2 linked regions of the Styela clava genome follow. The protein of the gene in region 1 interacts with the protein of each later gene in a pairwise test. Links are inferred from orthologs where the notes say so. Each region holds a gene or a part of one and is shown on either strand. Other genes may lie near its edges. The genes, in order: developmentally-regulated GTP-binding protein 2-like and RWD domain-containing protein 1-like.

The links.
Region 2: the proteins of developmentally-regulated GTP-binding protein 2-like (region 1) and RWD domain-containing protein 1-like interact in binary tests that used the Homo sapiens proteins (3 or more experiments, as listed by UniProt). The link is inferred for Styela clava from reciprocal best matches to the Homo sapiens genes DRG2 and RWDD1.

Annotation. Positions count from the first base shown.
Region 1 is NC_135250.1:12,761,979-12,771,774, reverse strand, and holds developmentally-regulated GTP-binding protein 2-like, read right to left. Parts: upstream 3,904-9,796; 5' UTR 3,737-3,903; coding exon 2,642-3,736; 3' UTR 1,590-2,641; downstream 1-1,589. Other genes in the region: ubiquitin-like protein 7, read right to left, coding at 468-1,568. UniProt on the Homo sapiens protein: Catalyzes the conversion of GTP to GDP through hydrolysis of the gamma-phosphate bond in GTP. When hydroxylated at C-3 of 'Lys-21' by JMJD7, may bind to RNA and play a role in translation.
Region 2 is NC_135262.1:382,944-393,298, forward strand, and holds RWD domain-containing protein 1-like, read left to right. Parts: upstream 1-5,963; 5' UTR 5,964-6,274; coding exon 6,275-6,407; intron 6,408-7,180; coding exon 7,181-7,746; 3' UTR 7,747-9,731; downstream 9,732-10,355. UniProt on the Homo sapiens protein: Protects DRG2 from proteolytic degradation.

The sequences.
Region 1 (9,796 bases):
AATTCGATTTTTTCAGCCTTGGCTCCCTTCTTTATTGTAGTCGAAAACTTGGGCTGTGGATTCACTTCTTTAACTTCTAATACGAATTCCCACCAACTACTCCTTTGAAAAGGGATATTAGTTTACTAGCTGCACACAAAGTTAGGTTTTTTCCATTTCATTTAGAACTCCAAAGTATTTCTTCTTAATTTATTTTTCAGCACTGCTCTGTTGGAATAGGAGACTGCAGGTTCAGTTAATAAGCGCTATAATATAAGAGCAATCAATCATGCTTGTATGAGAATGATGGCCCTCACTTAATCTACAAAATTGAAAATAATATTAAATCTGCAAATTTACCAGAGCAATAAACTTTTATTTTTATAAGTGGCAAAGGAAGAAATAAGTTATCGGAAAATAGACTTCCTTAACAGCTAAGTCAAGGGTACATTGTGAAAAAGCTAAATTATCATTCAAGAATCGATATCTCAATTTCCACTAAATAATATATTGATTGCCGCTTCAACATTTCCTTGTGTTGCAGTTAATGCATGCCTACTGGCTTCATCATCAGTTATACCCATTGAATGAAGCTGTTCAAGTCCTGCTCGCATTACATCCTCACTTAACACAGAATCATTGCTTCTTGGAGCAGAACTTTCACTTTGTAGAGATTGAGAGACTTCTCGAAGACCAGTTGACATTAATGCTTCTTGCATCGCTTGGTTTAAAGCTTCTGGTGTGAGCTGCTGAGGTCTGGTTTCATTTCTTTCTTGAGGTGTAGTTGATGTATTACTGGTTGTGTTTGAGTTTGGTGTATTGAAAGCTGAATATGGAAAATTGTAGCCCTCACTTGGTGGTGTCGCTTGCGCAATAGCGGCAGATAATTGAGACAAAGTTATCATATTAGAAGCTTGGTTTGAAGATGAAGGATGACTTTCATTTGACTGACCCGCATCCACGTCCATAGAAACCGTACTGCTTGTGGAAGCTGCTGTATTGGAGTATTTACTGGAGGTCATCAATGTATTCCACATTGCCTCAAAAGCTATGGCCAAACAAGGGTGCTTTTCAACAATATTTTTCAAATATTTTGGATTAACTATAACTTTAAACAACTTTGCATTCTGCAGAATATCCATTGCTGCACGGTCCTCTCTGAGCCCTGATATGTTTGAAATAATTTTGTCAATAGTTTTTTTATCTTCAAAAAGTTTGGTAAGTGCTGATTTTTTATGCGATCGATTCTCATGTTGAATCATGGTAGCCAAACCATAAGAAGCATTTTGTACTTTAGCGTAATCTATCTTCGGAACATCCTGTTTTGTTGATGGTAATTTCTTTCTAATAGCATGGAGTCTATTACCTGACTGCAATCCCCACTCCTTCATCTCTTGGTCAGGATTACAGTCTAACCGTTTCAATCCAAAATACAACTCGTAATCATCCGAAGATAAACCAAATGTTGAATTGATTTTTTCTCTAAATTGTTTATAAATAGGTGATTGCACATCCAAAACTATCTGCTCAGATCTGTGGATATTTTCATTATCTATATAAGACACATGGAGCTTGAATGAGTTCTCCATGCTTTGTAATTCATCAGATAATCTAAATGGCAAAACAAAAATGACAGTTAACTGTAATAAAGTTGTTTTAATACAGAATTGATTTATTAGGAATAAGTTGAATTTCAAAAGAACAAGGTCGCCACTCGCCACACTTGTACAATACTGCTACGTAATAATATGGAATTAGTCAATTCTGATATATGGTAGAGGCATTCCATTTCCATATAAAAAAACTAATATATTTATTTGAACAACTTTCATTTTATCCAAGAAAGGTGTTTTTCATACATTGTGAAAATTTGTTTGATTGATTTGCATGGATGGTTGTATCCCAAATTAAACGGACATTGCATTCAATACATCAACCTTTTTCTGAGTGGGAAAATCGCCAGAAATGACCATGCCTTATGCTTACATAAATATAACTTACTATCATACAATTCTGTACAAGAAGATTTTTCACAGTAAAAATGCCCACATTTGTGAGGCCATAAACATTTGAACTGTTATACCCATATGTCCTACTTATTTGGGAAATATGTCAACATAAAAGCCTCGAACAGGGTGACCTAAAAAAACACAACCCAGGTCATTCAGGATATATTCTAGACTCTAAGAGTTAACATAATTTTTGTGCGGAGCGTCTTACATTGCTGAAACTTTCGGGTACAATAAATCACTTTATAAGAAAGTTATGGGTTCTGTTCTTTGGGGGTCACCCTGCACATACAAGAGTGGAGATAGTTCAATCGATCAAAAATTGAATTTCAAAATTACATTTAAACAGGCCTAATGATCATAAAAATTTTAATTTAGCAGCTTGTTACTGAAATTATAAAATTCTGAAAGATGTGACTATTCGATAACATAAAAGACAATCATATTCAAATACAAGTATCAAATATGTGTTTTTTATTTTGCGGAGGAACAATTTTGATTCTGCCATCACCAGGTATTCAAGCAGTATGATCAGTCAAATTAATTAAGGAAGGTTGCTTTATCACCAATCATTGTCTGCTGGCATAGGACGGGTCACACCGAACAAAAGTGAACTAGATCCTAGTTCACTACATATATTTTGTTCTACATATTCACTTTTTAACAATTTGTAAAACATCTTCGTGACATAATTGGTGAGTCAAGCCTACATGTTGACCATTGTATTTTGCGCTCCTTCCCCAGACTTGAGCATATTTAAAACCTGATACTAACGATCTATGCACAGCATGGCAAGCATGCTCCACAGTACAATTTGCACGTAAAATCAACCCATCACTAAAGTCTGGCTTTTTTGCAGGCTTTTTTGTATATACAGTCATAAGAGCCAAATACTCCCACATTTTTTCGAGTAGATAGTCTAAATTCAATTTCATGTTGCAACTGATGACAACACTATGTGGTTGTCGTGCGATCCTGTCAACCTCCTCAATTGAAATTTGATCAATTTTATTGTAAACATAAAGGCATGACATATATTTTCTATTCCCAACTACAACATCAATAAATTCGTCTGGTCCATAATCATCGCGAAAGAGAACTTCAGCATTAAAAATCTTGTATTCGTGAAGGATTAGTTGAACCATTTTCTCGTTTATTTTTGTCAACACGCATGTAGAGTTGAATGACAGTCCTCCACCTTTTTTAAGTTTGAAGTAAATATTTGGAACCTTTTTGTTGAGACGAATTCCCACGGCTTCTAACTCTAGGGTGAGGAGTTCTTTCTGTTTTTCACCCTTTGCAGCATCCAGCATCATAACAACAACATCTGCTGTTCTACCAACTGCAATGACTTGACGACCTCGACCTTTACCACCCGCTGCACCTTCGATAATTCCTGGTAAATCAAGAAGTTGAATATTCGCCCCATTATATTCAATTACTCCAGGGATGCAAGTCAAAGTTGTGAACTCATAAGATGCTTGCTCACTTTCCGTGTTGGTTAACGTAGACAATAGAGTTGATTTGCCGACAGAAGGAAATCCAATGAGAGCTACGCGGGCATCACCCGATTTCATGACATCAAAACCTTCCCCTTTTTGTCCAGATCCCTTTGGCCCTTCAAGAAGTTGAGCTCTATACTTTGCTAGTTTAGCTTTCAGCAGCCCAAGATGATATTCAGTGGCTTTGTTTTTTTGTGTCCTTTGAATTTCCTTCTCAACTTCCGATATCTTCTCTAAGATACCCATGGTTTATAAGAAACTTACGAGCGTTCTCTCCAATTTGAATTCCAGAAGCAAACTAGAGCTTGATAGTCTAATTATCTTTCAAATTCAGTAATTTACAGAATAATTTTTATAGGGTTTTTCCCAGTCCACATTCACTATTACATTAACTGCTGAATTGAAAAACAGTATTCAATAAAACTTGATAGCATTTACAAATTTAGCAAATAGATCGGTATGTATAGTTTTGTACCACATGCACTTCTAGTTGGCCTGGCTCAACAAAATCTGAGCCTCTAAAGCAGAGTGATGCGCTACATTGCCGTACCCTTTGTGAAGCTATCAGCAAAACACAAAATTGTGACTGACAGAATCGCAGAAAATACCCACGCGTAAAATTAAATGTTCCCAATGATTTTTAAAAGAAGGTGTATATTTTGATTAGTTTCACAATAGCAAATAAAGCAAAACAATCATTAACTACACTCCTCTTATTGTTAATATATAGTAAACAAGCTAAAGCGTCTGTTACAGTGCATAAAAATTTTTTATACTTTTTTGAGAGTTGTTTAAAAATGACTGAATTTTCGTCGTTTAAGACGGTCGTTTCATGAAAACCTCCAATAAAGGCAGCATTGCAACACCATTGGTAAAAAGTAGAAACCTCAAAGATTCGATTTCATTATGTCAGAACAGTCTCAGCACGTTTTGACTTGGCCATATATAATACTAAACATAGCGTATAATTTTCAATTTTATGCACAATGTATATACAACAAATTTAAAACTGATTTTGTGTTTCAACTAAATTTACTGGAGTTCATAAAAGAAGATATTTTCCTCTTTGTCACACAACAATAATGCACTTTAATAAACTTAGAATAAGTTGAGGAAAGTCTAAAATACCAAAAAAAAATTACGCCCTCTTGTGGATTCTTTAATAAATATCACAAAATTATCGTTTTTGAAAGGGCGATTTCTCAAAAACCGCCAATAAAGGCAGCACTACGACACATTCGGAGAAAAGCAGATATCCTATAGATTCGATTTTAATATGTCAGAACAGTAGCAGCACGTTTTAACTTGGCCATATATGATACCAAATATAGCATAAAATTTTCAATTTTATCAACTATGTAGATGTAACATATTTAAAAACGGTTTGGTATTTCAACCAAAGTTACTGGATAATTCATCAAATACTTTTCTCTCTTGGTCATACATCAAAACTGTACGTTCATTAAACTTGGAATAAGAGGCAAATCTTAAAATAACAAAAAATGATGGATATTTTCGGAATTTCGAAAAAATATCGTTTTTGAAAGGGCAATTTCTCAAAAACCGCTAATAAAGGCGGCACTACGACACATTCGGAGAAAAGCAGATACCTTATAGATTTGATTTCATTATGTCAGAACAGTAGCAGCACGTTTTGACTTGGCCATATATAATACCAAACATAGCGTGTATTCAAAATGTAATAAACAATGCAGACGTAACATATTTAAAAACCGTTTGGTATTTCAACTAATTTACTAGATAATTTATCAAACATCTTTTTCTTTTGGACATACATATATTCTGTACGTCCATTAAACTTGGAATGAGTTGCGGAAAGTATAAAATAATAAAAATCATTTTACGCGTGGATTCTTTTCATTATTCTAAAAAATATCGTTTTTATAAGGGCGATTTCTCAAAAACCGCCAATAAAGGCAGCACTACAACACATTCGGAGAAAAGCAGATACGTTATAGATTAGATTTCATTATGTCAGAACAATAGCAGCACGTTTAAACTTGGCCAAATATATTGCTAAACATAGCGTGAATTCAAAATTTCATAAACAATGCAGACGTAACATATTTAAAAAGTGCTTTGTATTTCAACTAAATTTGCTGGATTATTATCAAATATATTTTTCTCCTTGTCGCACATCAATATGTCTATTAAACTTAGAATAGGTTTCAGAAAGTATAAAATAATAAAAAACATTTTACGCACCCTCGTGAATTTGTTTTAAAATTTCGAAAATTATGGTTCATGGAGTGGCGATTTCTCGAAAACCGCCAATAAAGGCAACATCACACCCATTCGGAGAAAAGCACATACGTTATAGATTCGATTTTATCATGTCAGAACAGTAGCAGCACGTTTTGACTTGGTCCTATATAACACCAAACATAGCTTATATTCTTCAATTTTATAAACAACGTAAAAGTAACAATTTAAAAATGGTTTGAGTTTCAACCAAATTTGCTGGATAATTAATTAAATATCTTTTTTTTCTTTGTCGCACATTATTACTGTACGTCTAAACTTGGAATGGGTGGCGGAAAGAATAAAATACCAAAACTCGTTTAAGCCCTCTGGTGGATTTTTTTACTTTTAAAAAATTAATCGTGTTTGAAATAGCGATTTCTCGAAAAACCCCAATAAAGGCAGCACTACGACACATTCGGAGAAAAGCAGATACCTTGTGGATTACGCACTATAACTTTTTTTTAATTTTCCCAAACATACGCTTTTAGAGTGACGGTTTCTTGAAAACCGCCAATAAAGGCAGCATTACGACACTTTCGGATAATCGAAGATACATTAAAGATTCGATTCCACTAAACCACAACAGTAGAAGCACAATTTGATTTGGCCATATATAACATCAAACATAGAGTATATTCTTCAATTTTTGAATAATGCTAACGTTAAAAATTTATAAAGCTGTCATATTTTAAACGAAATTACTGAATACTTGTTCAAATATAATTTTTTCTCAGTCACACATCAATACTGAACAAGGCGAAAAATATATTTGATCAATTATCCAGCAAATTAAGTTGAAATGAAAACTTTTTAAATTCGTTACGTCCATTTTGATGTAAAATTTTAAAAAACACGCTATGTTTGGTAATATAAATGACCAAATCAAAACGTGCTGTTACTGTTCTAGAATAGTAAAGTCGAATATGTAAGGTATATGATTTTTTCCAAATGTGTCGTGGTTCTGCCTTTATTGGCAGTTTTTTAGAAATCGCCACTCCAAAAACGATAATTATCAAAATTTTGAAAATAATCCACAAGAGGGCGTAAAATGATATTTCGATATTCTATGCTTTCCGCAACTTATTCCAACTTTAATGAACGTACAGTATTGATGTGTTAGCAAGACAAAAAAAGTTTGATAAATTATCTAGTAAATTTAGTTTAAATGAAAAACTCTTTTTGAATATGGTATGTCTGCATTGTTTTTTGAAATTTTGAATACACGCTATGTTTGGTATTATATATGGTCAAATCAAAACGAGCTGCTACTGGTCTGGTTTAGTCAAATCGAATCTTCAATGTATCTGCTATTCGCCTAAAGTGTCGTAATGCTGCCTTTATTGGCGGTTTTCAAGAAATCGTCACGCCAAAAACGGCATGTATGGGAAATTAAAAAAATATTTTATAGGGCGTAAGACATGTGTCGAATTATTTTTCGAAATTTTGAAAAGAATCCACGAGAGGGCGTAAAATGTTTTCTTGGTATTTTATACTTTCCGCAACTCATTCTAAGTTTAATAGACGTACAGTATTAATGTGCGGCAAAGAGAAAAATATATATTTTATCAATTGTTCAGCAAATTTAGTTGACATACAATTCCTTTTTAAATTTGTTTCGTCCACATTGTTCATAAAATTAAAGAATATACTCTATGTTTGGTATTATATATGGCAAAGTCAAAACGTGCTGCTACTGTTCTGACATAATAAAATTGAATCTATAAGGTATGTGCTTTTCTCTGAATGTGTCGTGATGCTGCCTTTATTGGCGGTTTTTGAGAAATCACCACTCCAAAAACGATAATTTTCGAAATTCTCAAACTAATTCACGAGAATGCGCAAATTTTTTTTTATTATTACTTTATACTTTCTGAAACTTATTCTAAGTTGAATAGACGTACAGTATTGATGAGCGACAAAAAAAAAAAGATATTTGATCAATTATCCTGCAACTTTAGTTCAAATACAAACCCTTTTTTAATATGTTACGTACCGTTGTTTAAAAAATTGAAGAATATACGCTATGTTTGGTATTATATATGGCCAAGTCAAAACGTGATGCTACTGTTCTGGCATAATAAAATCGAATCTATAATATATGTGCTTTTATCCGAATATGTCGTAGTGCTGCCTTTATTGGTGGTTTTCAAAAAATCGCCATTTTAAAAACGATAATTTTTTGTAATCCAGGACAGAATCCACTAGAAGTCGCAATTGTTTTTTTGCTGTTTTATACTTCCCGCAGCGTATTCCAAGTTTAATAGATGTACGGTATTAATGTGTGACAAAGAGAAAATGATATTTAATCAATTATCTAGCAAATTTAGTTGAAATACAAAATAAATTTTAAATTTGTTACGTCCATGCCGTTTGTAAAATTTAGATTACACGATATGTTTGGTAATATATATGGTCAAGCCAAGACGTGCTGCTACTGTTCTGTTATAGAAAAATCGAATTTATAGGATATCTGCTTTTTTCTAAATGTGTCGTGGTGCTGTCTTTATTGGCGGTTTTCAGGGAATCGAGGTTCCGAAAAGGATAATTTTTCGAAACTTCGTATTTGCGGAATACCTGAAAATTCATTTTTCGCTGAGTTAGTCTTTTTTTAAACACTATTTTCTTGGTAAATTCAATGTATTCATTCAGTTTGAAGATTTTTCATGTATTTCCGTGCTAAAATTATATTTTGATCAGCCTTTTCAGTTTCATATGTAACTATAAGTGAAATTTATATGCGCGTGGAACCTATATTCAATGTGTAAAAATATTCTGGCTGAAAGTTCTGCTAGCTTCACAGAGGTGTTGCGTAGTCATCAATGGTGACAAAGTGGATATTTATCAACCTCTGACCCCAAAAAAATTACTCAAAGTGTTTTCGCAAGTTGGCGTTTATAAAATCTGAAAATGGATTCTTTTTTTGAAATCATCGGTTTGCTGAAAAATGTCAAATAAACTGCCCATAAAGATATAAAGACGGTTAAAGATATTGGAAATGTGGGTCATTTTTGCCAATGCCGATATCCTAAAAATATTGCCGATATTGTTCGTTACATAAGATTAAGTACATGCTAATAGAAACTTGACAGTCAGTGCAAAGTGAACACTCAAAAAACGTTTGGAAATTTTGCCACTCGGTGGTGTAAAGTAAACGACGAAGCAAAAAAAGCTTCTCGATATCTTGTTGTCACACATTGCATATAAAGCGGATCATAGAAAACAAATACCAAGTTACACTCATATTATAGTATTTTTAACGGGATTTCATAATAGTACACAATTTTGATTGCTCCAGCCCACTCATGCAGTCATGATCCATTTAATGTGTTGTGCGTCCACATTCAGGAAATGCATGGTGGTTTGGGAAGCTATTGATCTGATACATGTAAACCGTTTGCTATGGATTCAGAGATGTAGTACAGGTACGCAGTTTTCGAATTCGAGCATAACATGGTGTAGGCCTATTTCAATTTTGGTATAAATTAATCTGCATGAATGGCTTTGAAAGTCCCTTTCGGAAATTATTAATAAATGCCAGATTGAACTTCAAACATATTCAATCCTAAATTTTCCAGAATCCCTTCTTTAAACTGATATTTGTTATTGTGGATCTTTTCATTTTACCCATTGTAATCACATAGGCCTACAACATGGCCCATCTTGTTGTACATGATATATATATTTCACAAAAACAATAATTAAACTACTTCCGTGCAAATTTTGGATACATTGTTGATCGTATTCCTTTTTGATATTTTGAAAATAATGGTTTACGCATCTGGGTCTGACTTTGTCACGTCGTCTTTTTTCCATAATATGTATAGTATATTATACTCCTCGGTGATAGCGATGTAAATAGAACGGCAATCCAGAATACACATTAACATATAAAGCTTGAAAACAATGTCAACGATCAACTAAAGTACTAAACCATCAACAACTTGGTGACCGTACATTTCAACCCATGTGTATATCCGCGGGTTCAATCTATGCGGATGCTAAAACCCATGGGTTGGGGTTAGTATGGGTTCAAATATCCGC
Region 2 (10,355 bases), on another chromosome or scaffold:
AAATAAAGCACAACCGGCGTTAGCAAAACGATTTAATTTGCAACCTAAATCGTTTTGTCAACACCGATTGTGCTTTATTCATCATCGATATGTACAATAGTCAGTCGATGTCCACAATAGTTGGTCTCGTTCGGCATTGCCGCACAATTTATTACAGCGTGGATGAGATGGTGGCGTGATTTTTCACTGTTTTTGCGCGTTTGCGTTTGGTTTTTGGTAGTTTTCACTGTTTTGGCAAGATTTTTTTACTCTTTTTGCAAGATTTTTGACGTTTTTATTCTGTTTTCACAGGGCAGTGATTCTATGAGAGATGCCATCATAAGCCTGAGGCCTCAACCACCGCGCTCAAATTCTGTTACATTTTAAATAAACAAACAAACATGTCCAGGGTTAAGATTCCTTCACTGCGGATTAAATTGTTTTTCTCTATTCAATAAAACGAATCAAATTCGTGAAGTAGGCTATGAAGCATCGACGCCCGATAACGATGAGTTGTTTGTAATTCTAAACTAGGTCAGACATTCGCGGCGCCGTAATTTATTCGTTTGTTTATCCCAAATAGTAAAATGGAACAAGAGGATGACGGGAGAGACGGAGTAGGGCAATCGGATACGGCAAAAGTACTTTACGATAATCGGTGGATGTGTTTGTATGTATATCAGCTTATATAAATGAGGGGGAAGTGGGCAGGAATAAATTGCGAAAACATATTGTAGACTGTATATACAATTATTGTTCCATATATGACATGAACTTGTATAAATTATTAGATGGCCACTGGTCCCCGACCATGACGTCCATACATCTAAAACAAATGAAAAATAATTGGACGAGAGGCCGTGGTTCGCCATGTAATTGATCCGCCTTATCAGCTTTCCTCAGCTTTAAAACCCAGGATTGGGAAGAATTTTTAAGAGACAAAATCAAGTATATTTTTTTCAATCAGTAAAAAATACTTTCATGCAAAATACAAAAATAAAATTCAATCACAGGATCTTACTGGGATGGAAGCCGCAAAGAATCAAAGATGGTTATCGAGCAGCGACACCCAAGGTTCCAAATATCTAATTACAAGATTGTGAAATTTAGTATAGTAACTACTGTTTTTTGTCGCGAGTATAGTTTTGAACTGTATAGAAAAGTAAACAACTGAAGCATTCTGAGACAGATAAATGTCTATGTCAAACATACATGTCGAGAAAGGCAACCTGGCAAGTCAATTTCCATGAAAAAATTAAAAATATTTGACGTTATACCATAAAACATCTATGTGCAACATACATGGCGAGAAAGGCAATCTGGCAAGTCAATTTTCATAAAAGAAAATCGAAAATATTTGAGGTTATAACATAAAACATCTATGTCCAACATAAATGTCGAGAAAGGCAATCTGGCAAGTCAATTTTCATAAAAGAAAATCGAAAATATTTGACGTTATTCCATAAAACATTTGTGTGCAACATACATGGCGAGAAAGGCAATCTGGCAAGTCAATTTTCATAAAAGAAAATCGAAAATATTTGAGGGTATAACATAAAACATCCATGTCCAACATAAATGTCGAGAAAGGCAATCTGGCAAGTCAATTTTCATAAAAGAAAATCGAAAATATTTGACGTTATACCATAAAACATCTGTGTGCAACATACATGGCGAGAAAGGCAATCTGGCAAGTCAATTTTCATAAAAGAAAATCGAAAATATTTGAGGTTAGACATAAAACATCTATGTCCAACATACATGTCAAAAGTGGCAAAGTCGCAAGTCAATTTCCGTAAGAAAAAAAATCAAAATTCATGCGTAAAATGACAGAATATTTCTACCTAAACCACGATGTTTTAATTCTGCATTCAGCAATAGTTAGAATGCAATAATTTTGAATGTGATGTCACTATGCTGTACATCACCGTAAAAGTGAGAAAAACTAAATTAGTTTATTTTAAGACACGATCGCGAAGAGATTGTAAAAATCTCCCATTACAAGACAACACATTGGAATTTCGAAACTATGGCTGTTGAAAAATCGGTCTTCCGAAGTATGTGCGCCAAGATGGCGCACAACCTGAACCTTAACCTGTTACACATACTATGTTCAGGTTGTGCGCCATCTTGGTGAACATACTACGGAAATACCAAAAAAGATAAGTAAATCCTCAATCACTGCAGGAAACCCAAATCAATTTGCGTCACATTTCAAGAATTTCAGAGTATTGCATTTTTGTAATTTCCAGATCTGCAGAGCAAGACCTAAAATGGACATAAGGCAATTACTGAACTAAAGCATGCAATGAGCGAAGACAAAAGATCAGGAAAATGCAATTCCTGAAATATGTGGCATAAACCAACGGCCGGCAACCAACTTGCCTAATGTTGAACAAGTTCATGAACACCATCTTGTGCCATATTTGGGAAACACGAAACAATGGAGTCTTATGGGAAATTTTCGTCGTGTTGTTGTACCGAATCGAATAAGTCCGCTTTTATAAGGGCTAGAATGAAACCGAAAGGTGGATTTTGAACTTTAAGATATATGCTATCCAAATATATAACGCAATTAGGAATGAAAAACTATCTAATGCGTTAAATTTGACTACAAACACAGCGTAGAACCATTTTTGGTCATTTTTTCAAAGATTTTATAGTGATACGCCAATTTGAGGCTGTAAAATGTCTCCGCAACAATCCTACAATGTTATTTATTCTTCTAGCGCAGCTTGGAGCTCAGCAGTAGGCCATTATGGAGCTTGACAGACGAAAAATGTTAACCAGAAAATAGAAACGGCCATTGAAGCAAAGTCGGGTCGGCCGGTAATTTCGACGAATAAATACAACTTTTGATCTGTGACGTCATCTCTGCCGAGAACAATAGCCACAAGATGGCGTCCATTGTCTGAGCGTTGCCTCGCTTATATTATATATACGCTTTGGCATAAACTACTTTGGTTTCACAATAGCGATCCGGGTTATAGCCAGGCATTTTCAAAAGGGGTTCTGAAATTTCTAATTGCCAAGTTGAACCGAAACAGCTAGCGGGTCCGGGTTTCCAATAGTCTTGAATGTGTTTGAAGCCCGGAAAATTGTATGTATGGCCCCACCCTGGTAACGATAAATACGATTGGCAAAAAGTAAAACGAGGATATCGGTCAGAGACCGAAGACTTATCGATCGAAAGTTGGGGGATCCCCAAAACAGCGCTCTTACTCCATTGTGACACCTTGTGATCCATCACTAATTAATTAATAACTCGCTAATTATACGACATAATTCATTCAAAATCAATAGGCTTCTGGTCCGACATATGATGAATGCACATGCAAAATCTGGAGCAGATTCAATCTCGCTTTCGTGAGATATCGCGAGCATCTAACAGACAGACAGACAGACAAATACCTATCAACATAGGTATCATAGACATCAAAAAGTTTGTTTGCTACACAAGTTGGACGACCGAACGATAACACGTTCGTGTTTTTATCTTTTTTATAATATGTTTGTGAGTGTAAATTGGGTAAACAGGCACAATGTATTTCTCCGTGTTTCAAACCTTACTAGAGGTTTTGCCAGTTTTCCCGATTTTTCCATTATTCTGTGTGTTTATGTTTTGTATGTTCATGATTTGTGCTGTGTAAGTATTTAGAGAAATTAAAATGAATTTATTATATTATAAAAAAAAAAAATGTTTATAATGTTCTTTCAATCCATTGGTTTTCATTTAAAGAAGTTTCACATTTGAAGCCAGTGATCCCTTCTGGCCTTGCTCTACGTTGAAGCTCACTTTCTCGCCTTCAGCCAGTGTCTTGAATCCTTCCCTTGCTATTTCCCTGAAATGCACAAAAACATCAGAACCTTTCTCTCGTTTGATAAATCCGAACCCTTTCTCATCGCTGAACCACTTGACGGTTCCAGTTTCGGACATCTTGATAGTTAAGTATATTAACCTGCAAAACACAAGGCAGAGTATTTTAGAGGAGCTTACGACAACGACTTAGTATTACCATATTTTACGGACCATAAGGCTGAGTTACACCGGTGTCAACAAGTTGCTTAGATTGTGTTTGATTCATACATAAAGCGCATCGTACTATAAGACGCAACAGGTAAGGTCTTGACTGTGAGTCTGTAGGCAATAAATCTTGAAGCACTTACTACGTTTCTATTTCTACAATACATATAATCCGTCTGTACTGCTTTGCACTGTCGTTTCCATGGTTACTTATATAGCTTGGAGTCGTTTCGTTGGAAATCCGGGTCACCGCGCTGTACTACTACTTTCCCGTAAACTTCTTTTTGGCTCTCCAGAAGTGTGTGTACCAGTATGGAGGTACCAATTTTGTTCGCCTACTTTACATCGAGTTGTGTAAAGGGTAGTGTAATAGGTAGCCTATTGGTAGTGCGTATATTCACTTGGCTAACACAGACACTTCCCGAACTCGTAATGAAACTAAAATAAGGAAAATCGAAATAAACTTATGACCTAACAATAACCTGGTACACATACTACGAGAGTACCAATTTTTTATGCTATTGTCTATTAGCCTACTGTAAGGCCAACTAAGCTGACCGACACCTAAAGGACCATTCGCAGTCTTGCTATTATAAACATGAAAGCGTCGATCCGAATCTAAACTAATTAGCTCTATGTCAGTGGCTCAGTATCAATATATCACGTCCCATACTGGTGCAAGGCTTGACTGTAGTATTTCACAGTCTTGTGATATCCCAGCCACCCAGAGTGTGATGAATTGAGTAAGCAATGCAGAGCAGAAAGAGAAGCCGGTCTTTCCAAATAATAATAGTCTCTTGCATATTGTTAGATATCAATGTTTGCTCGCACAAGACCTTGTTCGGGGCAAAAGACGTCATAAAAAAACTACACAGTGACGCACTATTGCTTGCACGATGCCGCCCACAGATGTGTCTGCAGCCCCCACCCACAGATTTGCGTGCTTGCGTTGAAGTTATAGGGCATGGGAACTGCAAAAATGTTGTTTAGAGAGAATCACTTCTTTTCACATTAGTCCAGTAGAGTAATATTTTTTACTTTGACTTATTTTCACAAATTTTCTTCGCGTCCTACGGCTGGCAAATATAATTCATGGAAACAGATTTACATGACATTCGGTAAAATTCCATTGACATGTGTCTGGAATTTTTGTGACACTGCGACACCGGTAACCAAATTTGTCCAGTGGTTAAGCTAAGATATAGGATAGGATTCACATATTTATTCCAGGGGAGAGGAAAGCCGATAAGTCGTCTTATCCATATGGCGAACCACGGCCTCTCGTCCGGTTACCAGTCCAGGTCGGGGGTATGGGATAAGTTAGTTATTTGTTTTCGGAAGCGTGGACATGATGGTAGAGGCAGCCGTAACCTAGATATGGACCACCAGACATCATGAATGCGACAATGATTCATGAATGACGAAATAAAATATATGAATCTGACGCTTGGACCTGATGTAGGAGGAAGCTGTAACCGATCAACGGCTACGTGAACGGTCACTCTACGGCGGTGAGGAGTCTTCTTGCATATAATTATTATCCCTCGGGATTCGAACCTACGAATCCGCGCAGGGTAATCAGAGGTGCAATGGCAAGCGTATGGATGTTTCGATTTCCTTGTTTATTTCCAAAACAATGGCTAATCAGCAATAAGTCAGTGATGATGTAACAATGGCAACCGTACAGTGTGTCAGACAATTCTTTCGCTAAGCAGGATTGTGAATATTGGCCTGTTTTAGCAGTTTTTCGTGTTAGGTTTTATTTGTGTTTCAAAAAATTAGTTGTAAATCAAATAATTTAAATTTAATTATGTTTTCCAAGGAGCTTTAATTTAGTTGCAATAATAAAAAATGAGTTCTGAAAAAGCTGTGAGATTTTGGGCTAAAGTTAGCTATGAGTACCTGCAAGTGGCACATGGCGTGGGTAATTATTTTTATATATAAGAATTGTGTTTTGAACACGTAAACTAGTTGATAAGCGCCTGCTCCCTCCTAACACTTTTAAAATAGATATCAAAAATTACTTTGAAGAATATCCTGGGGTAGGAAAAACGTTCATTCCTGAAGCTTAGCACGATGCGCCGCGATTTACATGACATTCGGTAAAATTCAATTGACATGTGTCTGTAATTTTGCTGACTTCGTAATCGCTAAATTAGTCCAGTGGCCCTTTGCGATCAAGCAGTCAAGTGTTCAATTAATCATCAATCGAGTATTGCTCTTCAACTATTGCGAAAATATTCTTCGAGTCAGAAATGTGATCCTGACAAAATGACTGACCACGAAGAAGAACAGAACACTGAGATAGAAGCTTTAGAATCGATTTATTACGATTCGTTCCAAGTAATATCGGAGAAGCCTCGCAGCTTTGAACTAACGGTCACTGTTGAAGACGCCGAGGAAGGTGGGTGTGTTTGATTAGTAAGGATAGGAATTTATATATTTTTTCAAGAAAGTTAAAAAACCGAACGGGTGGCTGATAAATCACATTGCTATTTGAAATAAATAAAAGTAATAGCCAAAAGAATACAATCTTCAACCACTGCTGTGGCGGTGTGGCTCATCATGCCAATATACTCGACACTGCATATCTGATTACCCTGTGTGGGTTCGCAGGTTTGGATCCCATGCGGGGAAGGTCATGTGGGAGAGGATTGCTGGACTCCTTGCCGCCATAGGGTGGTACACGTAACAGCTTGTCGGTTACAGCCTTCAGTACGGCACACTATACAGATCAGGTGGCATTGTCTCGTTTCAAAGAAACCCATTTTACCAATGATCAGACAGCCCTCCTTTGGGGGACGTCTGGACATTGTTGTCCCTCAATATCGGTAAAAATACAGTATAACGCATCTGATGTGGTGCCAGACGCCCCTCGTTTGAGTGTTTGTTTTATTGAACCAAATGGAAGGAAATTTTTTGGAATTTGGATAGTGTGCCGAACTGGCCTTCTCGACCATCAAGTCCGTGCTCCCGAAAACAAATACCTAACTAATCCCATACCCGACCTGGACTGGTAACCGGACGGGAGGCCGTGGTTCAGCATATGGTAGAGCTGTCCCATCGGCTTTCCCCCGAGATGATTATGTAAATCATATCCTATCCCATTGTGCCAATTAATGTATTAATGTTTGAGACTTCATTTTTTCATCCTTGTTTTTATATTAATTATCTCAGATGAGAACATTTTCGCAAAAATCCAATTCACATACACACCGACGTATCCTGACGAAGCCCCAATTTACGAGCTGATAGAATGCGAAAACTTATCAGCTGAAGATGAAGAAAAAATTAAAACAATCATCGAAAAAGAAATTGAAGATAATTTAGGAATGGTGATGATTTTTACTGTCGTTACTGCAATTCAAGAATTTTTAAACGACGTCAAAGATGGCATAAAAAGGAGAGAACAAGATGAAAAAGAGAGACATGAGAGAGAATTAGAAGCAGAAGAAAATAAAAAATTTCACGGTACACCAGTTACTGTCGAAACTTTTCTCGTCTGGAAATTAAAATTTGATGAAGAAATGAAAGAATTGCAGAAACTTGAAATGAAAATGACTGAAAAGAGGAAAATGACTGGAAAGGAGCTGTTCCTCTCAGACGCTAAATTATTAGAAAATGAGTTCCTTGAGGGGGAAACTGAGGGAGTAACGATTGACGAGAGCTTGTTTGAGGATCTCGATGATTTGGACTTTGAAGATAGTGATGACCCAGACTTTGATCCTGCTCTGTGCTCATGACACAGTTGTGAATTTTTTTTCCATATTTATCTGGGGGGAGGAGAGGTTGATAATGGGTGATTTTCATGTTAATCACAGCCTCTAAGTTGGATCCAATGTCTTTTGGTTTTTGTGGGGAATGTTGGCCAGTTGACTGTTCCATGTGCACGGACTAGAATGAGCTGTGAACACCCAGTTTGATGCAGTGATTAGAAGGCGCTCCAAAAGTGTGTGTACTAACATAGAGGTAACTAATTTTGTTCGCCTACTTCACATCAAGATATGTAAAGCGACTGAAACCTATGGGTAGCGGTATATTCACTTGGCTAACACAGACAGTCCCCGAACTCGTAATAGAACTAAAATAAGGAAAATCCGAATAAAATTATGGCCTAACCCTTTTTTCATACTCATTCTGGGGGAGGGAGTCGATAATGGGTAATTTAATCGCAGCCTCTAAGTTCGATGCAATGTCTTCTGGCCCAGGTTTCGTATGAGAATTAATGGCCAGTCGACTGTAACATGTTCTTAGACTTGGATAGAGAAAGAGCCGCGACACTGGTATGCTCCCCAGCTTTTCAATTCAAGGGTGGGGGGGGGGGGGGTTACAAATTTTAAAGGCGGCAGGTATTTGCTTTTAAAGATTAAACTATTTCCAACCTATACAAATAAATTATGTATGACCATACAGCTCTCCATGTAATTGCCTTCTTTGTATAACATGCTTAGGTTATCAATTTGTGTCACAAAATAAGTCAGTTTTCCTTTAGGTTTTTGTGTAAATTTCTGCAAATTATATTTAAAAATGAAGTTTATTTGAAGTTAAACTTATTTTAAGTTTATTTGTTGATATGATTCAAACAGTGGCATGATAATGTAAGATTTTCTCAGTAGAAAACCATGCACAGGTGTTCACAAGTATATGATATGGTTTCGTAAATGTTTGGGACTCGAGTCACAATTTATTCATAGTTTTGAGTCCTCTTAAATTGGGGGGTGCAACATTTTTTGTCGCTGGGCCATATAATCAATTTCAGACATCTATCTTGTTGGGCGACACAAAAATATTAGATTTCACATGTACACAATGTATGGCAAAAGCAACTAATATGAGGGATTGTTATGTCACTATATAATTTTGTAGATAAGCGCTATGAAAACCTGCATCAACGAAATACATCAGCGACAACCAGAGCGTCTCAGGAAAGGGTTCACTAACCTTACAGCAATCAAGGCAAGCGCAAAAAACATGCATTTTCACCCGAGTGCCTTTTAAACTATCGAATTAAGATTTTATGCTTAATGGGGAGAAATCCGAGTGTTGACAAAGGCCACACTAAATAACTTGCCCGGACCACCTGTTGCACACCCCTGCTCTAAATCAACCACTAGTGTAGCTCTACTCAGTGATTGGCTCGACTTTTTGACCTGGATGACACGTTACTTTGGGTTTAGGGGCTTCTGCACCAGGGTTGGTTGAAACCAGTGGTGGGATATAAATTTTTTGTCAGCCGGTTTCATCACAAAAGTCATATTTTTTGGTCGGTTCTGTTACATGATTTTTTAGTAATGCTAACTGCTTAGTAGGGCTGGGCGTTTTCGAATACCTGATGATTTCAGAATCGAATATTTTTTTCGAATCTAATCTCGAATACTTGGGAGATATATAATTGTATGTAACTTTCTTGTTTTATTGGGTCCTCCAGACACATAAATTACTGGAAACGTAATATACATCACTCAGACAGATTGCTGAGCTTTCACGCACAACAAGAAACACATTTTATCAATAACTCACTACAGAGAATAGTCATATGTCAGAATTGCGTTGAAAAAGTATGGCTTCAATAAAAAAAATTGAGAAACTTAACTCGATAATTGGCGGAAAGAAAAAAAAACGGCCTTTCGAAATTTCGCTCTGAACCGATTCGAATAATTTACTATTCGAATCGAAATGCCCAGTCCTACTGGTTAGCTGATCTCATAAAATTCCGTAAGACGGTCCTATAGAACTGGCTGAATCCCACAACTGGTTGGAACCCCCCTTTTTTAAATGTAAAAAAAAATAAAAAATTTCGGACCTCCTGAAGTATGCGCACCAAGATGGCGTACAACCTAAACATAGTATGTGTGTACCGGTTCGGATTCAGGTTGTGCGACATTTTGGTGCGCATACTTCTGGAGCACCAAAATTTCTCTACCATACAAAGCAATTTTTCGTAGTGAGATCTTCAAGGCTCATAAAAACCCAGCCAGATGAGCTATCTGTTTCAGTCTAACTTGGCAACTGGAAATTTGATCACCCCCCCCCCATTTTCAAAATCTCAAGTTACGCCCCTGTTCTACACATTACAGACTCATTCTATTAAAGCAGTGGTTCTCAACCTTTTACTGACTACGTGCCACTTTTGTGTTTTTACTCTGGCCACGTACCACCAACAAAATCCACTTTTGGGGTGGAAACAGTGTCACAAGAAATGCGTTATGGGAGATTTTATAATATGGCACTATATCCATTTTTTGAGCTGTCGTGCAGAGTTTAAAGATATTGATCATATGCAGTAACAATGTATTAATTGTGTGTGAAGTCACGAGAGACCGTCAACTGAGAAGCTTTGATACACCCACCA